Schizosaccharomyces pombe: one gene and its partners. The gene in region 1 interacts genetically with each later gene. Each region holds a gene or a part of one and is shown in the gene's direction. Other genes may lie near its edges. The genes, in order: atg7, his2, his3 and nem1.

The links.
Region 2: of atg7 (region 1) and his2, changing one enhances a phenotype caused by changing the other (phenotypic enhancement), as found in Schizosaccharomyces pombe (one study listed by BioGRID).
Region 3: of atg7 (region 1) and his3, changing one enhances a phenotype caused by changing the other (phenotypic enhancement), as found in Schizosaccharomyces pombe (one study listed by BioGRID).
Region 4: of atg7 (region 1) and nem1, changing one suppresses a phenotype caused by changing the other (phenotypic suppression), as found in Schizosaccharomyces pombe (one study listed by BioGRID).

What each region holds. Positions count from the first base shown.
Region 1 is NC_003423.3:2,633,727-2,638,822, reverse strand, and holds atg7 (E1 Atg8 and Atg12 E1 activating enzyme Atg7), read left to right. Parts: upstream 1-2,214; 5' UTR 2,215-2,228; coding exon 2,229-2,419; intron 2,420-2,460; coding exon 2,461-2,566; intron 2,567-2,607; coding exon 2,608-2,940; exon of another isoform or gene 2,941-2,975; coding exon 2,976-3,410; exon of another isoform or gene 3,411-3,470; coding exon 3,471-3,626; exon of another isoform or gene 3,627-3,664; coding exon 3,665-4,089; exon of another isoform or gene 4,090-4,130; coding exon 4,131-4,434; 3' UTR 4,435-4,532; downstream 4,533-5,096. Other genes in the region: ubiquitin hydrolase Ubp14, read left to right, coding at 1-1,210; microtubule-site clamp monopolin complex subunit Mde4, read right to left, coding at 4,533-5,096. UniProt on the Schizosaccharomyces pombe protein: E1-like activating enzyme involved in the 2 ubiquitin-like systems required for cytoplasm to vacuole transport (Cvt) and autophagy. Activates atg12 for its conjugation with atg5 and atg8 for its conjugation with phosphatidylethanolamine.
Region 2 is NC_003423.3:2,157,680-2,162,108, forward strand, and holds his2 (histidinol dehydrogenase His2), read left to right. Parts: upstream 1-2,165; 5' UTR 2,166-2,237; coding exon 2,238-3,557; 3' UTR 3,558-3,612; downstream 3,613-4,429. Other genes in the region: ppp16 (acylpeptide hydrolase), read left to right, coding at 1-1,997; meiotic recombination protein Rec15, read left to right, coding at 3,863-4,067, 4,117-4,429. UniProt on the Schizosaccharomyces pombe protein: Catalyzes the sequential NAD-dependent oxidations of L-histidinol to L-histidinaldehyde and then to L-histidine.
Region 3 is NC_003423.3:1,487,054-1,491,473, reverse strand, and holds his3 (bifunctional histidinol-phosphate aminotransferase/imidazole acetol phosphate transaminase His3), read left to right. Parts: upstream 1-1,783; 5' UTR 1,784-1,809; coding exon 1,810-1,877; intron 1,878-1,932; coding exon 1,933-1,944; exon of another isoform or gene 1,945-2,129; coding exon 2,130-2,741; exon of another isoform or gene 2,742-2,800; coding exon 2,801-3,263; 3' UTR 3,264-3,438; downstream 3,439-4,420. Other genes in the region: COG complex subunit Cog8, read right to left, coding at 1-863; mannosyltransferase complex subunit Alg2, read right to left, coding at 3,536-4,400.
Region 4 is NC_003423.3:3,371,523-3,376,430, forward strand, and holds nem1 (Nem1-Spo7 phosphatase complex catalytic subunit Nem1), read left to right. Parts: upstream 1-1,779; 5' UTR 1,780-1,942; coding exon 1,943-3,373; 3' UTR 3,374-4,030; downstream 4,031-4,908. Other genes in the region: RNA polymerase I transcription factor subunit Rrn6, read right to left, coding at 1-662; U3 snoRNP-associated protein Utp3, read right to left, coding at 4,039-4,908. UniProt on the Schizosaccharomyces pombe protein: Catalytic component of the nem1-spo7 complex which acts as a phosphatase and may be required for proper nuclear membrane morphology.

The sequences.
Region 1 (5,096 bases):
TCCTTCTTCATCGATTCTTCCTTACCAAGATGGTTTGAGGCCTTTTATGTTCAAAGATGTTGTGGGACAAGGGCATTCTGAATTTGGAACTTCTCAACAGCAAGATGCTTATGAGTTTTTATTGTATTTGCTGGGGAAAATACGGAAATCTAGTATTGCGAAAACTGACATTACTAAGATTTTTGACTTTGAAACGGAGCAAAAATTATCTTGTCTTTCCTGTAAACGCGTTCGCTATTCTTCTTTCTCTTCTCAGGGATTGACTTTGACAGTTCCGCGTGTTAAAATTGGTGAAATTGAGGGTGAGCAAATTTATGAAGAAGTCTCAATAGACCAATGTTTAGATGCAACTATACAACCAGACCAAATGGAGTATACTTGTGAAGCTTGTAAAAGTAAACTAGGAGCTACAACTACTACTGCCATGAAGTCGTTCCCGAAAGTCTTGATCCTACAAGCCAACCGGTTTGATTTACAGGGATATCAAGTTAAGAAATTAAGCATCCCTATAATAGTTAATGAAGACGGAATTTATAATTTCGATCGCTTAATGGCTAAGGACCACCCAAATGACGAAGATTATCTTCCTGAAAAGACAGAGACCATTGAATGGAACCAAAGTGCTATTGAACAGCTTCAAGCTATGGGATTTCCTTTAGTCAGATGCCAACGAGCATTACTCGCTACTGGAAATTCTGATACTGAAACTGCCATGAACTGGCTATTTGAACATATGGAGGACCCTGAAATTGACAAACCTATTGAAGTTTCTGAATTACTGCCCAAAGCAGACTCAAGTGTTTCAGAAGAAAATGTTCAATCATTATGTGAATTCGGCTTTACTGTTGCACAAGCACGAAAAGGATTGCTTGAATCTAACAATAATATTGAGCGCGCAGTTGATTGGATTTTAAATCATCCGGATGAAAGTTTTGAAGAACCACCACTTGAAGGATCAGATTCTTCAATAAAAAATGAAAATATGGGTAGTTGGGAATCGACAAACGTTCCAGTCAACTACAATTTAAAGGCCATAATAAGCCATAAGGGCTCAAGTGCGCATGCCGGTCATTATGTAGCATTTATACGCAAAGAGATAGATGGAAAGCAGCAATGGGTTTTGTTTAATGATGAAAAGGTGCTTCAAGTTGCCTCCTTGGAAGAAGCAAAAACTACCGGATATGTCTATCTTTTTGAAAGGCTAGATTGACATTAATTTATATCATTTTTTTTTTTTTAATAGCAATCATCGGAGCGTCTTATTGAATTTTGGGTTGAGCAGAATTTGGTAGCATACAACAACTAAATTTTTTTAACATTACATTATCAAAGAGACCCGGATTTAAGTCTTTCTTTACAAAATAGACCAACCATTCAGTTTGGCTTTAAAAACTCCTTTGACGCAAAAGTCGTTTTACAGTCATCACTCCCCGAATATTTGAAATAAATAAAAAATATCCTTAATAGCATTTTGAGTTACCTTCTGTGAACGAATTTCGTATTTTAAATTTTGAAAGAGTAGTTTTGATTGTAAGTATCCACGCACCATTCCAATTAAATGCTATATCGTCTCCACGGTCAAGAGTTTCAAAATATGTAAATTTGACCCTAAATACATAAGAGAGCTGACATTCATTTTATTTGAAAATATATCTGAAACCCAATTGTAAGCTACGCAGTTTGGTATCTGATTTAAGGATACGTAGAACTGCGGTGAGTTTTCCTTGTGATCTATTATATTACAATACACAGGTTGTATAAGTAGCAACTGAGTATAGGTATTGTATTAACTGGGTTATAATGTTACCTATCACTAATATAGCTCATAACTGAACTGAGGAACGAGGTTCAGCAGTAGCTCTATTTATAGTATTCAGATAATATTGATCTTAATAGATTATCATTAAGATCAATCTCCATATCGTATCATACATGGTACGATATATAATTAGAACATGTGACATATAGTGATACGCAACGTAGTGTAGTATTGCTGACACCAATGTAATTATAGCATATTTGCAATATTCAATATATTCTGTAATAACGCAGGTGTAAATTGGACTTGCCCTAAATAATTTCTAATTTAACGAAATTTAAAGCACAGTGATAAACAGTTCACGGCTTCAACATGTAATGACATCTATAATTTACTACACTACTTACTGTGTATACCCAGCAGTATATAGTAACTGTGTAGCAAACTAACGTTGTAGCAACGTTCAGAAATGTTTGTTGGAAAGGCATTGCAGTTTCAGTCATTCCATTCCTCCATTGATGCTACGTTTTGGCATCAATTGAGCAATTACAAAGTCGAAAAGCAAAAATTAGACGCGTCACCTTTAACTATTCATGGTAAATTTAATACATATTCAAGAGGAAATATATCAATTGTATTTGGAGAAGCGCCATCAAACAGGTAATGAGTGTACAATAATGCTTCATCTAATCTGTCCCTAGTAATATCAAAGACTGTTTAGCCGAGGGTACACTGTTAAATGCCAATACTCCTCAAGAATTTACTAACGCTGACGTGAAAAAAATTCGAGAGGAAATTGGTGAAGTTGTAAGTAGATTGATACAAAAGCTCATTAACATTATGTATAGTTATTAAATTCAATTAAAAACGGAGTTGTTTCTGAAAGGCCTAATGAATTACTTAGATTTCTTATATTTTCTTACGCCGACATAAAAGCTTACAAATACCATTATTGGTGCTTATTTCCTTCGTTTAAAGAAACTCCTCACTGGATTGTAAAAGACTTATCACCAGCTGAATCGCTAATACCTTCAGGTCCAATTTTATCTCAAATTCGTGAATTCTTGTCTACAGCTGATTACTATCAACGCCCTTTTTTCTTATTAATAAAATCAACATTAGATGAATGGACTATTGCACCTCTGAAGGAGCTTTCCCACTGTGTGGACAAGTCGCTTCAGGTATGCCATCGATTTTTAATCCAACTAACACGTAGTTTTATCTCGTTGCAGAAGATTCTGTTCAATTGGCAGAATATCCATCTTGGCCAGTCAGGAATATCCTCGCTTTTGCATTTATTAAGTTTAAATTGAAAGTGATTAATTTATTTCTATATCGCGATGGGATTAATTCTGATACGCTGTCGAAAAGCATACTAATAAAAGTTGAAGCAGATAAGGATATGATTCTTGAAGCACCCCTTTCAATCGTTGGATGGGAAAGAAATGGAAAAGGCGTTTTAGGTCCCCGGGTCGTTAATTTGTCTACGGTCCTTGATCCTTTTGTATTGTCTGAATCTGCTTCAACGTTAAACCTAAGCTTGATGAGATGGAGACTAGTGCCGCAATTAGATCTCGATCGTATTCAAAACTCAAAATGTTTACTTCTGGGGGCCGGTACTCTGGGTTGTGGAGTGGCAAGGAATTTGCTGGTAATGAAATTGAAATAAAATATTTATATGAAGCAAACGACCAAATTGCTAACGTTCTAGTCGTGGGGGGTGAGACATGTTACATTTGTGGATTACTCTACTGTCTCCTACTCAAATCCTGTCCGCCAGTCATTGTTTACATTTGAAGATTGCAAACGAAAGTTGCCAAAGGCAGAGTGTGCGGCGCAACGGCTTAAGGAGATATACCCGAATATGGTACAAAAAATTATTATGAATGCAAGCTAACAAAGAAGTTTTCAACGGGATATAACATCAGCATACCAATGCTTGGACACCCTATATATGAAGCTGGCATTGAGAAAACTATGCATGATTACGAAACTCTTGAGAACCTTATTTCCACTCACGATGCGATATTCTTGTTGACCGATACAAGGGAATCACGTTGGCTTCCGACAGTCATATCAACTGCCATGGACAAGTTGTTGATCAATTCAGCATTAGGATTTGACAGCTGGCTGGTCATGAGACATGGTAGTGTTTTACAAAAAGAGAATCGCTTAGGTTGTTATTTTTGTAATGACATATTTGCGCCTTCAAACTCACTAGTTGACCGTACACTTGATCAGACCTGCACAGTAACACGATCAGGATGTGCTAACATTGCTACAGCAATAGCAGTAGAGTTATTTGTTAGCTTGCTGCAGCACCCCAATGGGTACGGAAATTTTTTTTAGAATTATTAATTATCAATTTTAGACATGCTGCACCTGTCTTAAATGAAGATCAAACTGTGTTAGGTGAACTTCCCCATCAAATTCGAGGGTTCTTGCATAATTTTAGCCTAATGAAAATTTCAGGGATGGCTTATCCTCAGTGTTCAGCTTGCAGTGAATGTATTATAAATGAATGGAACAGAGAGAAATGGATGTTTGTTTTACGAGCCATTAATGAACCGGACTATGTTGAAGAATTATGTGGATTAAGAGAAGTACAAGCATTAGGTGAAATTGCTGGCACAATGGAAGAATGGATTAGTGATAAAGAAAGTGTGATTCTTTAATGGCGTGTGTTATGGACCAGTATACTAATGAATTAAACTATGTTTGGAAAAATCGATAATTGAAAAATCTATGAAGTGTTAGACAAAATCTATTTAATTTATTTTTTCATTGTAAATCCTTTCTTCAATTCATTTATCTCATCATTTCTTTTTTTTAACGGACTTATTGAGCGTCGTAATGTACTTTTAGTAGGTTGTATTGTCTCTAATAGAAAGCTAGATTCGCTATCTTCTTCTGTAAATTCACAGTTAGAAACAGTATCCTTCAACTTTCTTTTTTTTCTGATTGGAATCTTAGAAGGACTCAATGATGATGGGGATTGTGGTATTTTTAAGTGATCATTATGATTAATATCACTTACATTTGAAGGGATGGTATCGTCTAAGTGTTTTTTAAGATAACGAGCATTGGATGGGCTTACGGTCATGGAGTGGGGATACTTGTCACGCGAAAAAGGCTGTGAGGACTGAGCTGATGGCGATGATTGAGGCGGACTAGAAGATAGCCCTATAGAAGTAGAAGTTTTTTGAAGAAAAGGGGTAACGCTCAAGGGGGATCCTGAAGTTGCATTTGGTTGTCGAGTACCCATAATTGCCTGTTTCGAAGGGGAAAAAAGTTTTGGGGACGAAACACGAGGAGAAACAAGTAAACTCTTTCTCTC
Region 2 (4,429 bases), 480 kb from region 1:
CTGACAAGGCTGCATTTGATGCGGAATCCATGCTAGAAGCTCCTAGAAGGTCAGCAGTAGTTAGCAATCCTTTAGGGAATCTTGGAATATTTATAGAATCGAATTATTCCTTTGCTGATCACAAATATAACTCTGGAATTTACCTTTTGAATGAAAGCACTAGAAACCATCAAGAGCTTTTAGTACACGGCAAATCAAACAAAGCGCTCACATGGATTACTGATTCAGCTTTTTTATATGCAAGAGAAGATAATTCTAGCTCATCGAGTATCCTTCTTTTTGACGTTAACAATCGATCAGAGCGTATCATATATAATCATAACTCTTCAATATCTGATATAAGGATCGGAGAAAAGAACAACCACTATAGAATCGTTTTTAGTTCAGTGGATAATTCGTTAGTTAAGGGACCTTCAAATGTTCACGTATACGATCACTTGTTTGTTCGACACTGGGATAGATGGAACACAGGATCTAGGAATACCCTTTATTTTATAGAGCTAGATAAAAAAACGGAAAACTCAAATTATTTTGAAATTTCCTCAGAAAAAGCTATTGATTTGTTGAAGGAAACTGGCTTGGAATCTCCTGTCGAACCCTTCGGAGGTCTTTCTGACTTTGATTCTAACTACGACAAACTTGTCTTTGTAGCAAAAGACCCGAAATTAAATCCGGCAACACAAACAAAGACAGTTGTTTACGAGATTAATCTGAACACTCGGAATCTGAAGTCATTGAGCACTGCGAAGGGTGCATGCTCTTCACCAAGACTAGCCAAAGATGGAAATCATATTGCATGGCTTGAAATGCAAACACCACAGTACGAAAGCGATCAAAATCAAATAATGGTATATGAGTCCGAGTCAGGCGCTAAAAAGCACATTGCTCGTCATTGGGACCGATCGCCTTCCAGCATTGAATGGGGGGTTTTCAAAGGAGGCGAACCAGGTCTTTTTGCTATTGCTGAGAATTATGGGAAGCAAATTTTGTTTTTTGTTTCTATATTTCACCACCAAGTTATCCCAATGACAGAAGAACACTCTGTTTCTTCTATTAGTGTCCCTAAATCTTCTTCCTTATGGCTTACGAAGTCATCTTTAATCAATCCCCCTTATTACGCAAAGATTAACGTTGAAACGTTAAACGAAAGTGTTTTACTCGAGAACAATGTCGGATTATCGCCAACTTCTTATGAAGAAATTTGGTTTCCTGGCACTCATGGTCACAGAATTCATGCATGGATTGTAAAGCCCGAAAGTTTTGATAAATCTAAAAAATATCCTGTAGCAGTGCTTATACACGGGGGACCTCAAGGTTCTTGGACAGATAGTTGGTCAACGCGCTGGAATCCTGCAGTTTTTGCTAATGCTGGTTTTATTGTATTTGCTCTTGATCCTACTGGATCTACAGGTTATGGACAACGTTTTACCGATTCCATTGCTCTTGATTGGGGTGGTAAGCCATATAAAGATATTGAACTTGGTGTTGAGTACATAAAAAATCATCTTTCCTATGCTGATTCTGAAAAAATGGTTGCCTTAGGTGCTTCCTATGGTGGTTACATGATTAATTGGATTCAAGGACACCCTTTAGGTCGTCAATTTCGTGCACTTGTATGTCATGACGGGGTATTTAATACCCTCAATACTTTTTACAATACTGAAGAACTTTATTTTTCTATTCACGATTTTGGGGGTACTCCTTGGGAAAACAGAGTTATCTATGAGCGCTGGAATCCTTCAAATTTTGTGAATTATTGGGCCACTCCTGAACTTGTAATTCATAGCTCAAAGGATTACAGGCTTACCGAAAGTGAAGGAATAGCCGCATTCAATGTTTTGCAGTACAAGGGAATTCCTAGCAGATTACTAGTCTTTGAAGACGAAAACCATTGGGTCATTAAACCTGATAATTCCCTACGTTGGCATAAAGAAGTGCTTTCGTGGATTCTTCACTATACTAAAGATTGTAATGCCAATGAAGATGAAACGTTTTAGATTAATTTTAATAATACAACTACGATTATTTAATAAATTTTTTTTTGTTTCTCTCGATCTTTGTTAATTCTATTACCGCGGATAAAAAGTTGCAACCGCGGTTTATCCGAAGACATATCAAATTTAGATCTTTGCTGTAAGGGAAATCGAGTATTCACCGATCCAGCCATTCCTTAGCCAACATTGCATTAAATTTTTAGAGAGTCGATTTAGACTTGACTACCTTTAATTTACTTAATAATGCCGGAATACGAGATTCAGGTGCCTTCTTATAGAGCTGCTGCATTAACCGCCGAAGAACGTACACGATTACTTGCAAGACCCATTCAGAACACTCAAAAAATTCGTACGATTGTCCAACCGATAATCGAGGATGTTAAATCAAGAGGAGAAGCTTCTCTAATAGATTATGCTTCCAAATTTGAAAAGGTTCAATTGAAGTCGGCTGTCTTAAAGGCTCCGTTTGACGACGACTTAATGAAAATATCCCCAATGATTAAAGAGGATATTGATATTGCTTTTAACAATATTTTTGCTTTCCATTCATCACAGCTGCGTCCTACAATTGCTGTTCAAACCATGCGTGGTGTAGTCTGTCAACGGATGTCTCGTCCTATTAACCGAGTTGGTCTTTATATCCCTGGAGGAACTGCAGTGTTGCCATCTACTGCTTTGATGCTTGGAGTTCCGGCGAAGGTAGCTGGCTGTCCTCATGTAGTGATTTCTACGCCAGTCCGAAAGGATGGTACGGTTGCGCCTGAAATTGTATATATTGCAAATAAAATTGGTGCTGAGGCTATTATTTTGGCAGGCGGGGCGCAAGCAATTGCGGCCATGGCATATGGAATATCCGGTGTTCCTAAAGTTAACAAAATTTTTGGCCCTGGAAATCAATTTGTTACAGCTGCAAAGATGCATGTTCAGAATGATTACGGGGCTTTAGTTGCTATTGATCTTCCTGCTGGTCCCTCAGAAGTTTTGGTAATAGCAGATGAGACCTGTAATCCTGAAAGTGTTGCCTTGGATTTATTGTCTCAAGCAGAGCATGGTTTGGACAGTCAGATCATTTTGCTGACTGTCTCTCTATCTCCCGAAATGTTTGACCGTATTCAAAAAGCAATTAATGATCACGCTTTACGACTTTCTCGTTCGTATATCATCAAACATGCTATCAAGAAGTCGGTTATTGTACAGGTTGACAATGTTGATCAAGCTTTTGAATGGTCTAATTTGTATGGTCCTGAGCACTTGGTCTTGCACTTAAAAAATGCTTCTTCATACATTCCCAAAATAGATAATGCTGGTAGCGTTTTCGTTGGTCCTTGGTCACCTGTAAGTATGGGTGACTATGCGTCTGGTACCAACCATACGCTTCCTACATACGGGTACGCCTCTTCTTATTCTGGCGTTAGTACCGATAGCTTCTTAAAATATATCACTACCCAAGAGCTCACTGAAGAAGGAATCCAGCGGTTGGGCCCTACTGTTATTCGTCTTGCTGAGTTGGAGGGTCTCACTGCGCATGCCGATGCTGTTCGTGTTCGGGGAGTTAGACTTTGAAAGGGGTTTCCTTTTTACGTATACCTAATTAAGGATTCGGCTTAAAATAAAATTTGTGTTTGGTACTAAATTTGACAAAGTATTTTTAGGTTATGATTTATTTTATTTTATTTTATATTTTTCAATTTAATTTTAATAGTATGAATGGGCATCCAATATACTGAGTAATTATCCATTAATTCAACCTGAAGTTAGTTGGTGTCGCGTCGCGTGTCTCGACTTTTTTCTAGTGAAAACGAACATTCCCTTTAACCAAACCTGCAATTAAGCGTTACGGGAATTTTAACGGAAACGATCATTAAATAATGAGTTATTCAGTTTCAGCTGCTCAATTATGGTCTCGCAAGTTGGCAATGCAAGCCGAAGATATGCAACAGCATCAAAAGTCACAGAGCAATCAAATTGCTAGTTGTTTGGCTGAAATGAATACCAAACAAGAGGTAGTTAATCAAACGATCGGTCAACTAGGACGATCTATTAGTGAAGTCCAACAACAAAATTCTCAACTAGGTAAGTGAGATTTAGAATTTCCCAAGTGGTTGGAAGTCTGACTTAATAGTACTACAATCTTTGAATCAAATAAACATGTCTATGCAGCAAGTGGCCTTAGGGATTCAAGATTATGCCAGTCGTATCAATAAGTTGGAACAGACCATGTCAGATATGAATTTGAAATTTGAAGCTTTACAAAAAGAACAGAACAGTAATACAAAAACACTAGCTGATTGCACAAGCCAGATGACTATAATCACTAAAAAGCTAGATGCAGAGCTGAAAAAGCGTTATATGACTACTAAACAAACACGAACAGTACAAAATCAAACTATGCCCAGAAGTAATACAACAACGAAAAAGCGAGTACTGGCTATTGA
Region 3 (4,420 bases), 1.1 Mb from region 1:
GGTGACGCTGAAGTGCTGGTGGAATTAGGTATATCTACTGTACCTGCAGCGTTTAAACGATCATTTGATGACTCACCGAATACACTTTGATATTGAAAAAGGAGAGAAAATGCGCGATCACGAATGACCTGTATATATCTCCGTAAGTACAACTCAGGATTATTGTAGTCAAGCAATGGCACTAAATTTCGAAGGCTTGTTTGTAGTTGTTTCCATGAAAAATAAAGAAAAACGTATTTCAATTGGGCTTCGGACAGTTTTGCAGTTACCCGGAGATAGGTCACTACTTTGATTAATGAGTAAAGCTTTAATGGCTTCTGTAGCTGTAAAATAAGTTTCTCAGTAAGTTTAACCACCAGCGTTTCAACTTGAGTAATTAGTTCTTGAATGATAGAGTTTGTACCAAATCGATCTTTTAATCGATACGCAAGTGCTTGAAATTCCAACGTTTCGGAAAAGTAATTCCTTTCGATACAAGCGTTCATCAACTCTGGTAATTCCAGTATACTACTTAATTGCGGCTGAACTTGATGCATTAGTTTTGCATCTCTGTAATGCTCTGAAATTGAAGTTAGAAAGTTTTGGCTTCTCTTGACAGGTTCATATAGCTGATTTGTATGTAAAACAAGCTCTTTAAAATCGTGTCTACTGTTCTCGAGAAGTTGATAAAAGGCATCTTGATTCCTAGCATAATCGACTAATACATTGTAATTGTCTCGTAACAGTTGCTGGCGTTTTTGCACCAATTTTAATTTTTGAGCATGCAATTCGGCTTTTCGTTTCTCCAGTTCTGCATACGGTTTCATAGTAAGATCTCGAACAAAAGCATCCATTTCCGTTACATTATCCCCTATACTATCCATGTCTTCAAGATCTTTAAGCTTTCAAGTCAGGTTGTACAGCAAAACAATTCTTAGTGAAAACGCGTAAAAAAATCATTCACAACTATCTTCTAAAAAAAAGAAACTAATAGAATCTAAAAGAGCTACACGTTTGGATGAATGCGTTACGAATATAAGTACCTTATGTGTAGTAAGGGTTGGAAAGCACCAGCCTTAATGTAAGGATCCATTCTCGAGTAGAAACTTGCATCTTCATCTTGGAACACTGGCTAGATTTTCCGATCGTTTTGTTTAAAGGATTTAAACAATATTTAATTAAAAAAGGTTGAGCAATAGTATTCGCATTTTCTTTGAATAAAATAAAGCAAAAGCGCTGCGACAATTTAATTTATTTAACTTTTACATAAATCGTAGGCCAAAAAGTTATGAATCCAAAATGGTTATCCTAGGTAATGAAATAGATTGTGAATAAGACTGGATTGAACTGCCTCATCTATGCAGCCTGTATAGTGAAAATAAAATAGCTAGATAAAAAGCATGTAGCAATTGAAACAACCTCATAAAATGTAATGAATTATGAATTTAAGTAACAAATATCTATTTCTCGGACGGCAAAAGTCTAGTAAATATGTGTTTTAATTTCAGCGAACTGTAAACAATGGTGCATTTTCTTTACAGCATTAGTATAGTAACGAAATTTTTATCAAGCTTTCAACGTTTTCTTTACTATTGCACTTATAATTGTATTTGGAAATGAAAGACATATGGAGCTTTATTTCTCTTTCCTCTTCAGGTTTCTGAATTTATTGGATATAATGACACGGTGATACACGTTGTAATGAATTAAAGACTCACATTGCTACACACTATATATTTATAGATATCACCTGCATCTTAGGTTAATTATTAATTAATCTCATCGATCGCTTTCTTCTTACTTTAACAAAAACACATCGAAAGAGATACGATGTTTGATTTGAATACTTGTCTTCGTAAAAATATCTTAGAACTTCAGCCTTATCGCTGTGCGAGAGAGTATGTAATAACTTGATAAACTAGAAAGCGTGATATATATTAACATAGAATATAGTGACTTCTCTGAGTATGTTTTATCTTTATATTTGGGTAATAATTGATATGAGGGCTACTTCTAGAAAGATATTTTATTAGCTGCTTGGAAAGCAATGAAGTACTCCCTGTTTACTGTTGTTGTTGGAGCTGGCGATTTCAGGCCTTTGTTGTTTTTTACCCTTTTCTCGCCTATATATTTTTTGCTAATCTTAATAGAGGTGTCCTTCTTGATGCCAATGAATGTGCTTATGGTTCGGTTATTTCCGTGGACGGTGTGGAATTCAATCGTTATCCGGATCCTAGACAGATCGAAGTAAAGCAAAGATTATGTGATTTGAGAAACAAAGAGCTTTCCATTACCAAGCCACTAACACCAGATAACATTTGCATGGGTGTTGGCAGCGATGAAATTATTGACTCCTTAATTCGCATTTCTTGTATTCCTGGAAAAGATAAGATTTTGATGTGTCCACCTTCGTACGGAATGTATACGGTCTCTGCAAAAATCAACGATGTTGAGGTTGTTAAGGTTCTCCTTGAACCAGATTTCAATTTGAACGTCGATGCTATTTGCGAAACACTTTCTAAAGATAGTGCCATCAAAGTCTTTTTTGCTTGTTCCCCTGGTAATCCAACAGCTAAGGCTCTTAAACTCGAGGATATTAAGAAGATTTTGGAGCACCCTACATGGAATGGAATCGTTGTCGTCGATGAGGCCTATATTGATTTCTCTGCTCCCGATATGTCTGCCTTAACTCTTGTCAATGAATATCCAAACCTTGCTGTTTGCCAAACCCTTTCGAAATCTTTCGGTCTAGCAGGAATTCGGTAAGTTAATCTAAGCTTTTAAGCATTAATATTATTTCTTTACTAACTATGATGTTTAGTATCGGATTTTGTTTGACAAGTAAACCTATTGCTACCATTATGAACTCATTAAAGGCTCCTTATAACATTAGCGAACCCACCTCTCGTTTAGCTTTGGATGCTTTATCCCCTCAGTCGATTGATAAAATGCATACATATAGAGATGCTATTATACAGCAAAGAGTTCGTCTTTGCAAAGAGCTTACTACCATTAAAGGAATGGGCAAGATTATAGGTGGTTATGATGCAAATTTTATCCTCATTCAGGTTTTAGATAGACCAGAAGGAGGTAAGCCTAGTAACGATGCCGCAAAATATCTTTATTTACAAATGGCCACGATGCACAAAGTCGTTGTTAGATTTAGAGGTACAGAGCCTCTTTGCGAAGGAGCATTGCGTATCACTGTTGGCACAGAAGAAGAGAATACGATATTACTAAAAACTATTAAACTTGTATTGCAGGAATACTATACAAAAAAATGAGGTTTCCTTTTCTGGCCTATTAGAACGTTTCAATTAGACAAATTATAACTCTTTCCTTTCCCCTTCCGGACTCGTCACATTTCTTTTCTGATGTACCCAATATATTTTGTGTTCGCTAATTGCGCTTGCATTCCTTCTTTCTTTATTAAAATACGTTTTCTTCCTTTTTGGTGTGTTTCCGTATAGTTCGATAAGCAATGAAAAGATGTTATTTTTAATTTTGTAAAGGAGTTACGCTAATTTAAAGGATTATAACCCGTGTAATAAAAGAATTAAAGATTCGTTAGCTTTGCATAGACAGTGAAAGTTAGAAATGACACTGAAACTATACAAGTTCCTAGCATAAATCCGAGTTTTACGCTTGAATACGTTTGAGCGAAATACAATTTGATTATGGCGAAGGGAACAGTTGCAGCGATAATGCATGTCCCCCAAAATAGCATAAATAGAACAAAGACAGCCAACAGTCCATTCACGCGTCTCATTAATCTTTTTTCGGGCGTGATTGATCGTATTCCAGACATTATTTCCGATTCGAATTTTCGAGCCATTGCATCTGTAGAAAATTCATTCTTCACCCATTCACTCCCTGCTTCACCCATGGCAGCAGTATCATATGTAGTACTAGTAGTCGCTTCATATATAACATTTCCCCAAATTTTCGCGTCTCTAGGACGAAGCCAACCATTCTTTCCATCTATAACCGTTTCCAAGGGCCCACCATTCGTTTGGGCTAATACTGGAACTTTACGAAGCATGGCTTCCAAAGGGACAATACCAAAATGTTCATTTTCAGGAGTGTAGAGCAATATTCTAGAAGAAGAAATTAAAGCATCCCGAACCTTTGAAGGAACTGATAATAAAAACAATACATTGGTAGAAGGAGCAACAGTTATGTTATCCCAATTATCTTTTACAGTCGTATAAGAAAGATCCTTTTGTTCACAAAATTCCTGCAATTCTTTTAAATATCGACGATTTTCTGAAACACGAATATCGTAGCCACCGGCTACTAAAAGCAAGTATTCAGGAAATCGGTTAGCAGAAAGATCGCGCAATGCACTAAAAGCATCGATTGCAAGTCGAATATCCTTCTTCCTTTCAAATCGGTTGACGGAAATTAAAAGCTTTCGTTGACTATAACGTAAATACCTTAT
Region 4 (4,908 bases), 740 kb from region 1:
AAAACCAATTGTCTCACTGGTTGTGAGAATTTCCATATTGGATCCTCAGCAAACTCAAAAGCCGATACATTCAAGTAAAATGGGAATTCTTCAAAAGTTGCAGTATTTTGTAATGTCGGAGATGCACGAAAAATCCATGGAGACGAGAGGCATAAAAAGAGGAGATTTTCCGCAGTTTCATTGCTAATCTTGCTACAAGCAAGACATTCAGTTGTGGTGTATCTGTTTTTATCTGATGGCGCTGTTTTACCCAAGCAAAAAGTATTTAAAATATGTGGATTATATATAGACTCAGCAGAAGAAGCTAATTGAGACTCTTTCGCTAGTGTAGAAAATAAATTTCGCGGAACATATCTGCAAACACTTAAACCAAATGAACTACTAGTCGCTTTACGCGTGGAATTGGTGGCCTCAGCAGGAAGCTCAGTTAATTTAGGGAGTTTGTAGTTTGGATTTAAAGATAAGATATCCCATCTTTTGTCCAAGTCAACAAGCTCGACGCCCGTATAGGAGTCATACCTAGCAAAAGTCCATTCATTATTTTCAACCTTCTCCGCTCTGTGATAGCCAGATGGATTTAAAAGTTGACACGCCCCTATAATTCCATAATCCAAACTTACACTAGGTTTTTTACTAATTGCATCAATAGGCCATGTTGACATGAAGATAATTAGAAAAATAAAATTAGATTGAATTGTGTTTACAAAAACACATCTAACGACAATACAAGAGCAACCTAGCGACAAAGCAAGTAATCAGTGTTTCAAGGAAGCAATGCTGGAGTAATTTCACCTATAGTTAAGAACTTGACTTTATTGTTATACTATAATATATTTAAAGTGCTATCTTTAAACCATTATATAATTATATAAAATATAACTCCTACCGACTACATGCTTTCAATTGAACAATTTATTGATTTATGTTAACTGAGAATTTCTCTTTACTAGAAAAAGATGAAGTTTAAAAGTAATACTTAAATTAGTCATAAGACAGTGTTCAAGTAGGAGAGGAGTTCTTCTCCGAAGTCTCTAAGCTGCTATCAATTACATGTAGATTAACACAGCAACAAAACAATCTCCTTTACAATGAAATGCAAACGCTTACGATTTTGGAATGATTTAGCAATAGATAAATTGGTTTACGAATGTTGCATTAGCCCAGTTTTCCCTTTTCATAAAAAATACGTAAGGAGGTGCTGATACCTGAGGAAGAGTGCAATATTCAGATTAGCAAGTGTTTTGAATTCTCTTTAGTGTCCGCTTAACCAATTTTATCGATATGTTTATAATTTTGTAAAGTCAATAAGTTAGTTCAGCCTGTTATTTGTAAGTAATTTATTGTATGCAACGTCTAAAGGAGCTTGATACATTTTAACGTACCATTAAATATATTTAGACTTAAAAGCATCTTTCAAGTAATGTCAAGAAACCTAAAAAGACCGCTCGGCGACTTACATTCTAGCAAAACGTTGATTAAAAGAATGGCAATTAAGCTAGCTTCTACAAATATTTAGACTTTTAATAAAATGAAAATTAATTTTTCTTGCACAGAAACCCATACAAGTAAAGTTTATTAGTTAAAAAAAATGAAAGCTTCTGCAATGAACTTTCATTTTACGAACTTAATAAATATTTACACCGTATTGTTTACATTTAAATTTGTTACTTTAAGGTAGTTTTGATATATCTTCTTAAGCATTACGTCTTATGAAAATGTTATTATTTGGGTTGTAGTTCATCATTATATATATTGTGCATCGTACCACCGTGTGATTCTGGCTTTGTTTTCCCACATATTTTAGGTCTAACTAACACATATTTAATTAATTACTCTTTTTTACTAAAAGGACTCTGCTTGGTCGTTGTATACTTTGTATGCATCGCTTCTTTTGGTGAATTTTTTAATTCTTTGCAATCGCAGCAGAGAGAAAATAATTGTAATGAATTCGATTGCTAGGCTATCAGATGAAATTAATAAAGCAATCCTTGCCACTCCTTTAGACGACGATGAAGCTGACAAAGAAAAACTTGCTAATGCTCGGGGGCGAGCTTCATCAGCTACTTTGAGGCATTATAATCGTCGTAGATCGTCTTATTCGGCGTCCAGCCTTAGCAGTTTGTCATCAAAACCGACGGAAAAGGAAGTTCCTACAAGGAATGAAAAACCGAAGCATGCCAACATTATGCGTGTTGTCGTCTACTGGATTCGTGTGTTCCTGAAACGAATTTATACGTTTTTCGTTCATTCCGCTCGTGTATTTTTGTACCACTTTTTGAATGAAGAGAAAGAGTTTACCCTTGCAAGTTTTTTTTGGGGTCTATGCCGGTTTGTCTTTTTTCCTGTATTATTATCGTATAAACGCCGAGAGATGCTTCCCCCTCAGCCAAGTGTCCGCCGTCCTAGGTTTTATTCTTCTTATTCTTACCCATCCTCTCACCAGGATCCTGCCTATTCATCTTTCAAACGACATAGATCTTCTAATTCTTATAGCAGTTCTTCTAATGGAAATCATGTTCGTTTTCAGCCCTCTATTGCAGAAGAAGAAATTTCTTTCAATTCTTTTTCAAATTCATTGAATTCAGAAGAAGATGTGTGTGTTTCTCCTATGAAACCCAAAGAGGTCTCCCTAATGGGAAAAGCAAATTCCAATCGTTCAGGACATTCGCATCAACCTCAATCAACTCAGTTTTCCCCGCCTGCTAATGACAATATTTCTAAGCTGCCTTCCTCCTTTACGATAGTTAATGATCCTCTTAAATCTCCTTCTTCTTCCCGTCTCCGTATTAGAAACATTACTCTGTGTGCGGACAAAATACCGAGGCCTTTGTTGAATAGCAAGTTACCGAGAAAGACCCTTGTATTAGATTTGGATGAAACACTTATCCATTCCGTGTCTCGTGGTAGTCGAACGACTTCTGGACAGCCAATTGAAGTACATGTGCCTGGTGAACATCCAATCCTTTACTATATTCACAAAAGGCCTCATCTTGACTACTTTTTATCAAATGTGAGTCAATGGTTTCGCCTTATTTTGTTCACAGCATCTGTCCAGCCATATGCTGATCCAATAATTGATTATTTGGAGCGTGATAAAAAAATATTTGCTAAACGATACTACCGTCAACACTGTGCACTTGTCGATAGTTCTTTCGTTAAAGATATTTCCATTTGTAATATTCATCTTTCACGGATCATGATAATTGATAATTCTCCAGCCAGTTACAATGCTCATAAAGAAAATGCCATACCTATTGAAGGTTGGATTAGCGACCCCTCTGACGTTGATTTACTAAACTTACTTTCTTTTCTTCATGCACTGCAATATGTTCATGATGTGCGAGATCTTTTGGGGCTTCGTCTCGCAAAATAAGTGCTTTTCATGATTCCTTTTTTTTTTCGTGAGTAATTTACTCGTTATTTATCACCAGTAACGATGGTCTAAAATAACTTTTTCTACTGCATTAACATCTTGGGTGCCTTTCCTTTCTCATCATCAAACTTCTTTGTTATAACCTCAAAAGGGTACCTTTTGGATATTTCCTAGACCGCATTTGGGCCATTCCAGTTAAATAATTTTTGTTTCTTTTTGCTGATAATATGTCAATTAATGTAAGCCTAATCGTAAGAAATTCTTTCTAATAAACTAAACGCATGTTTTAAGAAAGATTAGTTTCTGCACTGATGTTCGCAGCAATTACGAAGGCAACTTACTTATGAAATTTCTTTCTAAATCAAGCTTTTAATAAACATGTTTATTCTATTTAAGTGTTGATTCTTTTTTTTTTACTTTTCAATCTGTTATTACAATCAACTTACTTAATCAGGATGGGCAAAGGATTATAAATGATTTAATGATTATAAACCAGATTACATAGACTTTTAGCATTTTAAAATCATATCACTAGGCTAACGACATTGTTCTAGCAAATAACATAACCCAAAACCACATTATTATTATATGTATCTAATAACACGAAAATTCAAAAAACCTAATATATGCAGAATTAATAGTTGAATCAATACCAACCACCACTTCTATTGAAGTTTAATACTTTTAACTAAACCAGCTTTAATACCAGTCTGCTCACCAGCATAGCCGCCCTGTGGTGCGCCCTTGTAAATAGCCTTTTTGCTGGCTAATTTCTTCTTAGCTTTTTCGTAGCGCATACGCTTTTTAAGTCGAGGATTTCTATTTTCTTTAGGTCGACGGGGAGTTAATCCTCTATTTTTAGCAATGTCTAAAGTAATTCCACGCTTATCACCTTCACCTAATTCAATTAGTTCTGGGTGCCTTGAAGCTCTTATTAAATCACGTTCGAGATCGTGATTTTCTTTACGGAGCTTTTTAGCCATCTTTGATTTTTTATCGAGAGACTCGTAATAATCCAAATCATCTTGATCTTCAACTTCACGATCGACATTTGCAGGTATGCCCATTGATTCCGGATCTTCATCATCAAGATCAGCACCAGCATCCTGATTTCGACCCCTGGCTGCAGCTTCTCTCATCAATCGCTGCTGGCGTTCAAATCTTCGTTCTTTGTATGGCATGTCCAAATCACCTGATAACTCCAGTACCGCTCTGGAACGCTTAGCTGCCTTTTGGTCAATTTGATTAGCATAAAACTTTAAAGAGCGTTTCCTAGCAATCTTGTCTTCAGCATCAACATCGTCCAATCTGTTGCCTTCACCATAGTCATCGAGATTTTTAATATTAGTATTAATTTTAGATTTAGCGGCTCGAAATTTCAAAGTAATATCATCATCTTCAGCTACTGGAATATCCTTAATGCCCTCATTTTCATTATCGCTGATTGATTCGTGCATATCAACATCTTCTTCATCTTCGGACGCACCAATGTCAGATGCCGATGCTATCTTTTCGTGAAGCTCGATAGTTTTTCC